2 linked regions of the Sus scrofa genome follow. The protein of the gene in region 2 interacts with the protein of the main gene of each other region in a pairwise test. Links are inferred from orthologs where the notes say so. Each region holds a gene or a part of one and is shown on either strand. Other genes may lie near its edges. The genes, in order: MTA1 and SH3GL1.

Region 1 (4,361 bases), on a different chromosome or scaffold from region 2:
TGCCACTGCCGACAGAAGGCCTCTGTCCAGGCCAGGTCACTTCCCAGGGACGAAGCAGGCCCTGCCCCTCCCAGGCCGACCCAATCGGCCCAGGCGGTCAGCTGGCCCAAAGCTGCAGCCAGGCCTTCACCCCGCCCGACTCCTGGCAGGGCCTTGGGACAGCCTGCCAGGTGGGACACGCAGGACTCCCAAGTGACGCGGGACTCTGCGAGCAACTTCTCATGTAAGTGTGGCCCACACAGTATTCGGGACACACGTATGCTAAGAAACTGTTTATCTGAAATTCAAATTTAACAGGCGTCCTGTGCTTCTCCCTGCTGAAGCCGGCACCTTCGGCAAAGGCTCTGCTCTCCGGGTCTTTAGTGGAGGAGACCCCGGAGGCGGGCGGGGGCAGGCCCCCGGCCAGGGCAGGACGCCTCCATCTGGACCCTGAGACACCCAGACACGGACCCCCGCGCAGCAGCAGCACCTCGGGACAGCAGCCCAGCCGGCCCGCACCAGGCCGGCCGAGCCCACGGCCCAGTGGACAGGGGCAAACGAGGCTTCCCTGCAGGGACCGAAGGGGTCCAAGTGGAAGCAGCCCCACCCATGGGCTACACCACAGGACCCCTGTTTACACCAAGGGAGGGGGGTTGCCAAGAGGAGGGTGACAGAAGTCCAAGTCCAGGGGCACCCCGGCCCTTGGAACCAGTCGCGACAAGCAGGCACGGGGCGGGGGGCCTGGGAGGGAGAGGCAGAGGAGGCCACGGAGGGCCTCTGGGTGACACCCAAGCCTCCCTCTCCAGCCTCGGTGTCTGCGGCCGGCCGGGAGCTGGGCGCCCCTGCCCTGGGAACACTCCATTTACTGAACACGCTGAGCAAGACTTCAGGGCCACAGCCTGGGGTGGGAGGTGAGCCCACACCTGCAGAGAGGCTCTGCGTGGGGAAAGCCAAGGGGCACCGAGTGGGCGGGGGGACGGCCAGACCAGAGGAGGGCCTTGGGCTGGGCAGGAGGGGGTCTGCGCTGAGGAAAGGCGTTCCAGGAGGGCGAGGGGGTGGCACTGAAAGGGGGCAGCTGCGAGGCGGGCAGGAGCCCTGGGCTGCAGCAGCTGGGCTAGGGGCCAACGGACGGAGAAAGCGACTCCGTCCGTGGGGTTCCACGGGGGGCCACCCAGCCTGGCAGTGTATTGAGAGACCCCGGGGGCCTCCCTCCACAGATCGGCTCCCCCCCGGACTGGAGAAGTTGGGAAACCAACAGGCCCCTCTCTGAAGGCCCCCGCCCCCTAGCCTGCTCTCCCCCCGCCACCGCCGTGTCCACCAGGGGCCTGCTGCCGAATGGGGTAAGGGCCCCCATTTCCGTGACACCTCTGAGCCAGAGAGGAGGGAGGGCTGGACAGCGGGGCGGGTGCGCCCAAGGTCACAAGGTTGGCCTGGCACTCGGGGGTCAGCCGGCCAGCGAGAGAGGGTAGACTGAAGACACAGGTGACTTGGAAAGCCAGGCCAGAGCTGTCCTCAGCCCTGACCAAAGGGGGGCAAGTGGGCGGCTCAAAGTCTCCGAGAGGGTGGGCATCTCACCACCTGTGAAGGACCAGATGAGGCCAGCTCGGGACCCCGTGGGGACCCGTAGCACGAGCCTCCTAGAGCCCCCTCCCCACAAAGTGGGGCAAAGCCCAAAGCTGGAGGCTTCCTGGGGCTTGAGTGGGAGAAGCAACAGCCCCAGGAAGGAAGCCCCCACCCCGGATCTCAGCTAGCTCTGCACCCCCTAACCAGGGGGCCACCTGCCTCTTTCCCAAATGCAAAGCACCTCCCTGCTGGGCCGCAGAAACAGGAGACAGCAGAGAAAAGATCAGGGTGCCAGCAGCACGCTGGGGGGAGCACAGGCCGCTGAGGACCTGGAGAGGGAATCCTGCCGGGGAAGCCCCCAGGCCCACGCCGGCCCAGAGGGCAGCTCCCAGGTGACCGCAGGCTCGCGGCGGGAACGCGGCCGCCACATACAGCTCCCCACCCCCCGAGGGGACCACTGCCCCCCGCCCCCAGCAGCTGAACCAGCCCTCGGCGCCGCCGCGGGGGTGCTCTCCACACCACAAGGGCCCCAAACTCCCACTCCCAGGAGCCGCCAGCACCTCCCAATGCCACGTGCTCCTGCTCCCGAGTTGGGGGGATCCCGCCAGGCGCCCCAGCCCCAAAGGATGCTCTGCGACTCCCAGAGCTCCTCAGCCCCACGCTCAGCCCCCAACAGGTGGGCAGAGCCCCCGCCTGGCCGCTGCCGGCCCAGCCACTACCCCCCACCGGCTCCAGGAGGGGCCGGGCCAAGGGGCCAAGTCGGGTGGCGACGAGCACGGCCAGGGCAGAGGTGGTGGTGGAGGAGCCGGCTGCTCAGAAAAGATGGAGCGGGAAGGGGAAGGAGACAGGGGCGGGGGGGGGGGCGCAGCAGAGGAGTGGGCGCCGCGGGCAGGAGGGAGGGTGGCCCAGGCAGGCGGCCTGCAGTGGGGGAGGGGTGCAGAGGTGGAGGGAGGGGACCAGAAGTGGGCCGATGGGGGGGCGATGGGGAGGCGGGCGGAGGGGGAGGGGGGAAGCGGAACGGGGGGAGGGGCGGGACAAGATGGGGGACCCGGGCAGGGGGTGCCGAGGGGGCGCGCGCGGGGGGAAGGGGGCGGCGGACGGCGAGGCCCGGGGCGCCGACCGGGGCCTGAGGCGCGGCGGGGCGGCGCGATGGGGGGCCCGGCGGGGACGCGGGTGGCGGGGCCGGGGCCCGCGGCGCCTCGCGGCGGCGGCGGCGGGCGGGCGGCGGCCTTACCTCCGACCCTGTACATGTTGGCGGCCATGTCCGGCGGCGGCGGCGGAGGCCGCGGGCTGGGCCGGGCTGGGCGCTGGGCTCGGCGCGGGCGGCCTGGAAAATGGAGGCGCGCGGGCGCGGGGCGCGGGGGCGCGGGCGGGCGGGCGGTTTAAAGGGGCCGCGCTGCCGCCGCCGCCGCCGCCGCCGCCGCTGCCGCCGCCGCCGCCGCCGCCGCCGCCGCCGCCGCCGAGGCCGCCGAGGCCGCCGAGGCCGCGCAGGGACCGAGGGCCGCGGCGCGGGCGGGAGAGGAAGAGGAGGAGCGGCCGCGGGGAGGGAGGGGCCTCGGGCGCCACCGCCCACCGCGCGGGCCGTTACCCGCCCCGCGGCCGCGCGCTCCCCGCCGCCTCCCGCGCCCCCGCCCCGCCCCGCCCGCACCCCGGGCCCCGGGCCGCAGCGGCCCATCGGCCCTCCGCCCCGGGTCCGCCCTGGCCCCCCCCCGCCCCCCGCCCGGCCCTTTCCGCGCAGCCTCCCGCCCGAGGGCGCCCTCCGAGTCCGCGCGTTCGCAGGCGCTCGGCCGCCCGCCGCTCCGTGGGCGGCCCGGGCCCTCCGGCCCCGGCCCTCGGCGCCCCGCCCGCACGGCCCCCGGCACACAGTTGCGGGCCGCTTTCCCCCACCTCTCAGCTGGCACGGCCCCCCTGACGGTGCCCGAGGGAGGAGGGGTGGGCGTGCCCGGAGGAGGCCGCCCTCCGGAAGGCGCCCCCCGCCCCCGGGGGGGCCCCCCCCCGCAGGCACAGCCCAGACCAGGGGGTGCAGGGAGGCGCGGGGGCCGCGGGAGCGAGCGAGGCTCCCGCCTGTCCTCCCAGCCCCGCGTGTGAGCTGGGCGCCTGAGGTCCAGGACGGCCCGGACGCTGCCCGGGGAGGCGGGTGGGGAGGCTGCTGGGCGGAGGGGATGGAGCCCCGCACGGAGAGAAGCAAGGGGCCGGGTCCAGGATCAACCTGACTGCCAGGGGGCTGCAAAGGAGGAGCCAGCCCTGTGGGACCTGGAGGGGCTGGGGCTCCAGAGGCCCCAGGGCTGACCGCCTGCCAGGAAAGGCAGAGGAGCAGGGGCTAGGTGCTGCTGACATGTAGGCCGTCCCCCAAGTGTCGCGAGGTGCGATGGTCTCCCTCGCTCCCCGCAGGCCTGGTCCCTGCCTCCGGGGCCTGCATCTCCTCATCTGGACGGCGAAGCTGCAGCACTACCTAACAGGTGGACCAAAACTTAATCAGAACCCCCAATAAATACATGCCCAGGCAGCTGCTGGTCACAGAGAGTGCCCACAACGTCCTGCCTGTAAAGTGCCTGCTCCTGCCTCCCTTCTGGAAATAAGACAGCCCCTGGAGAGCAGAGGCAGCTGAAAGGTGGGGGCCGTTTTCCTCCCGGCGCGGGTGCTGGCAGGTGAGTGGCAGTCGGAAGCCATTGGAATTGCACGACTCCCCCAAGGAGGAGGAATCGCCCTCCCAAAGCACCGTGACTTCTAATAAACCCTTGGGAGAGGCCGCCAAGCCCGCGCCCGCTCCTCGGCTGGCTTTCGCCCTGTGTTCCTCTCCCAAGATGGACAGAAAGGAG
Region 2 (4,534 bases):
GAGCAGAAGTGAGAATAGTAAAATTTAGCCCAATTTTGGAATTCTATTTATCCTGTAAATTGGATAATTAAATCAGTATGATTGTTGTAAATCATGTGGAAAAATAGGAAATTCGAGGACATCGCTTTAGGCAAGTAAGTCGTGTCTTACTCAAGACCTCAGTTTCTCCCTCTGAACCATTAGGATGTTTTCCCTTCCTTCTCTAACATTCTGACATCTGAAATGATTGAGACTAGTGCATCACCCTTCAGGATGCCCATCAGAATCACATGGAAAAAATTTCAAACTATTAATAATAGCCTCATCAGGATCTTGGGGAAAGAGGTTGGAGCCTGCCTATTGCGAAGCAATCCTCTAATCTAGCCCAGGACCTACCATTGAGGCACTTGGAAACTTCTAGCAATCCTCTGCTTTACAAAAGCACTCAACTCTGTCAGAGATTTTGGAAATGAAATTGCAAGCACTTTAGCTCTGGTCATTTTATTATTCTTCTTTTTGGATTCATTTATTCACTTCAATTCACTATTAATTTCCACTTCATTCAATAAAATAACAGTTGGTTAAAAAAGTCAATATCAGTAAACATTTATCAATCTGAGAAGGCTTCCTGGAGGAGGTGCCATTGCAAAGAGTCCTCTTAGGCACAAGGAAAAGGGAAAAGATTGGGGAAGAATATGCAAGAGAGGAACAATGTTAGCAAAACACATGGATTATAGATGAAGACAGCTGAAATCAGAAAAGGTGATGGGGGAGTTCCCATCATGGCACAGCAGAAATGAATCCGACTAGGAACCGTGAGGTTGCAGGTTCAATCCCTGGCCTGGCTTGGTGGGTTAAGGATCCGGCTTTGCCATGGGCTGTGGCATAGGTCCACAGCTACAGCTCCGATTAGACCCCTAGCCTGGGAACCTCCATATGCCACAGGCGTGGCCCTAAAAAACAAAACAAAACAAAAACAAAAACCCAGAAAAGATGATGGGGGCCAAATTATGCAAGCTTTGTAGGCCATCCTAGGAAATTGGTAGTGTATTCTAAGGCCAGTAGGTGGACTTTAAACAGAGGGCTGATGTGATCTGAATTGTGTCATAGAAGCATCTTTCTGGTTGCCTTGTAGGCAATGAATTGGAGGCAAGAACCTGAAGGTGGGCACATCAGAGAGGAGGCTGGTGGAATGGTCTGATCAGGGCAGAGAAGAGAGTTGGGGGTGGGATAGTGGAAAGGAGGTACAAGAGATACCCTGATGTCTGACTTGGGCAACTGAATAGATGAACACTGGGCAGGACGCGATGATGGTGGAAGGTACTAGACGCACAGAAGAACTGGCTATAGCTGAGATTAGTGAACAGGCATCCAAAGTTCTGTAAACTTAGCTTCTGGAGTTCTACTTGTCCCTTGACCTCCCTCTCTGCAGAAAGGTCTAACCGCCTTTCTTAAGAAGTCAGGCCCACCTCCGGGAGTCCAGGGGACGCTGCAGTCGCTAAGGCTCCTCCTGTAGGCTTGCCTGGGCCCACTCACTGACCGAGGAGGCCTCTGCGGTAGTAGGAGCGCGCTTGCGCCACCCGGCCGGCAGGGGGCGCGCGTGCGCATATGGGGCCGGGGCAGCGCGGGCGCGCGCGCGGAGGCCGGCACCGGAAGTGTGCGGTTGCCATGTAATATCCTGGCCGCGCGAGCGCGCAAAGGGCTGAGGCGGTGCCGGGGCGGGCGCGGAGCTGGCGAGGGGACGGCGGAGGCGGTGCCGTAGGGGCCCGCTGAGGCGCGCGGGGGGTTGGCGGCGCCCGGGAGCCTGTCGCTTGCGCGATCCCTCCGGTTCGCTGGGTCCGGGCTGGAGGCCCGACGTCAGGAGGCAGCATGTCGGTAGCCGGGCTGAAGAAGCAGTTCTACAAGGCGAGCCAGGTGAGCAGAGGCCGAGGCAGGGGGTGAACTTCGGGCCCCACGCTGTTCGGAGCTGGGCCAGACCAGGCCAGGCTTGGTCTTGGCTCGGGAGAAGACTGGGGGCACCGAAGGGGCGGCGTTGGCACGTGTCCCCCGGCAGGATGGGGACAGCCCAGAAGGAATGAGGTCTTGTGCGAGGTGGCCCAGGCCCTGCCCGCCATGTGGACTCCAGTCTCCATGAGAAGAGTGGGCAGACCTTTAAGAGGAGCAGAAGTGCTCCCAGAGGTTGGCTCCGGACGAGGACCCCTCTCCTCCTGTCCTCCCCTCTGAAAGGGCAGGGAGGGGGAAGGGATAGAAGGGGAAGCAGTCCCGAGGCTGTCGACACAGGACTCTTGCCAGAGAGCCCAAGGGCAGGGAAATTTTGTGTTTAGAGTCTTTAAAAAACAAAAAACCTTTTCAGTTGGCCCGTTGCAAAGTTGAAATGGTAGACTGAAAAGTTGGTCTCCCACTTCAGTCTCTCAGGCATCCAGCCCCTCTCCACTGAGACAGGGACTGTCACCAATAACAAAAGATAAGTGTATAAATGTACTCCTTTCCTTTAAAAATACACAAGCAGTGGTAACATAGTCTACATAGACCCATGTTCTTGGTGTTTTTTAATTAAATGTGTTTTGGGGATCACACAAGAAACAGAATTCTCCACTTCAGATCATCCTCTGTTGTGGTGGCAGTCCTGGGCAGTCTGGGGAGTTCAGTAGCATCCCTGGCCCCGACCCACTCGATACCAGGAGCATCCCCCAGTTGTGACAACCGCAGATGTCTCCAGATGCTACCGAAAGTCCTTAGGGGAACCTCCTCCCTTCCCCTCCCCCAGAACTACAGCACTAGAGCCTACCTCTAGAGCCTCTTAGATTTTTGATGAGTATGTGGTATTCCATTCCATGATGTCTGTCATAACTTAACTAGTTGTTAATCAATGGATGTTGTTTCCAGGGGTTTTCTGCTGCAACCAATACTGTAGTAAATAGCCAGGGTCTGTCTCTGCCCACAGGTGGGATTAGATTTGTTGGGTAGGTTACCAGAAGTGGAATGCTGAGTCCAAGAATGTAAGCATTTTATGTTGTAACAGACAGAATAGGTGTTTTGGAGAGTCCAGGCCCCGCTGCTCAGGAGTCTGGTGAAAGCTGAGTGGTTCCACTCCTCAGAAAATTGGGCAAATGCAAAATTTAGTTTATAATTTCAGATCCAAGAAGCCCCAGATTCCTTGATCCTATAAGAACCTTAGTTCTGGAGTTTGTGTGGATAGCCTCCAGGAAGGAATGAGCAATGGTTGTTGGAATTGTTTGGGCCGTACTGGCCAACTGGATTCTACCCACAGTTTGGAGAAGTCCAGTGGGAGGGAAGAGAAGTCCAGTAATACACAGCTGGGACCTTTTGCCCCTTGAGGGAAAAAGTAATGACCCTAGCATTGTCCAGGGCTAAAGATATTGGGGGTCTATCTCTAGACTCCTGGCTAAACCCTGGAGGAAGAGAGACTTAATATAGTGGGATTCTAGGATGTTCTGAGAGTACAGCCCTTTGCCATAGCAGGATGGAACTAAGTGACCTGGCCCTACGTTAGACTTTGCTCAGCAGGCCGAAGAGCCCCCACACACTTGATCAGAGCCCCTTGGCATGCTGATCACTGCCTCGGGGCTTGATGTAGTCCCTCCTACTGGAACTATAGGTCTTGGAAGAATTCCTGGGCTACTTTGTTCTTTCATATAGACAGGTCTGTGGAAGCCCTCCCCGCCCCCAGCCATTAGGGCTTATGCTGGTGGCCCATGCTGTCCCTACCAGACACACTGTGCTAGAGGAACTAGCTAGGTCTCTCAAGGGGAAAGAAGGATGGCCTGCATCAAGACCTGTGGGAAGCACTTTGAATCCTGGAAAGCTCAGTGCAATGTAAGCTGGTGGTTCAGATCAATTTGTTATCTTGACCTGAGGCTCAGTCCCAGAGAACTGCTGCGATGGCCACATTCTCCTCTGAGAGAGTCGTCTTGGTCTCCTGACCGATTTGGTGTTGAGTTGTGCTCTCAAGACTCACCCTCTTCTGCAATAGTTTCCATAGACCTCCAACATCTCCACTGTTTATCTGGACGTGTCCACCTTTTTGTGTGGTTTTTTTTTTTTTTGGCTGTGCCTATGGCATGCAGAAGTTCCTGGGCCGGAGATCAAATCTGCTCCACAGCAGCAACCGTGACAACACTCCGATCCTTAACGCACTGCACCACAGAACTCCTCTTTGTGTGTCTCTTTTCTCAGTCTTAGGGACACTGTTTCATCCTCTTTTATGTCCTTGGGGTCATCTGTTCCAGGGTAACATTCTTGTTACCTTGTAATGATATATATTGAGTTTTCACTGTGTAAACTGATGATATGCTTTAAACCAGTCAGTCTCTGATGGTCTCACTTATCTGGCCCAAAGGTAAATGCATTCCTCTTTTTACATGAAAAGAGTTTCAGGGCATTTGTCTTCCTGCAGAACAGTAGTTCTCAGCCAGACCAATCCCACCTTCCAGAGGACACTGGCAATATCTGGAGACATTTTTGGTTGCCACAGCTTGGTAGTTTCTAGTGAGTGGAGGCCAGGAGTCCTGCTCAACATCCTACAGTGCCCTGG

What was found.
Region 1: the proteins of SH3GL1 (region 2) and MTA1 interact in binary tests that used the Homo sapiens proteins (3 or more experiments, as listed by UniProt). The two-hybrid records come from large-scale screens. The link is inferred for Sus scrofa from reciprocal best matches to the Homo sapiens genes SH3GL1 and MTA1.

Annotation. Positions count from the first base shown.
Region 1 is NW_018084979.1:3,459,564-3,463,924, reverse strand, and holds the start of MTA1 (metastasis-associated protein MTA1), read right to left. Parts: upstream 2,885-4,361; 5' UTR 2,805-2,884; coding exon 2,777-2,804; intron 1-2,776. UniProt on the Homo sapiens protein: Transcriptional coregulator which can act as both a transcriptional corepressor and coactivator. Acts as a component of the histone deacetylase NuRD complex which participates in the remodeling of chromatin.
Region 2 is NC_010444.4:74,412,798-74,417,331, forward strand, and holds the start of SH3GL1 (endophilin-A2), read left to right. Parts: upstream 1-1,660; 5' UTR 1,661-1,848; coding exon 1,849-1,893; intron 1,894-1,900; exon of another isoform or gene 1,901-4,534. UniProt on the Homo sapiens protein: Implicated in endocytosis. May recruit other proteins to membranes with high curvature.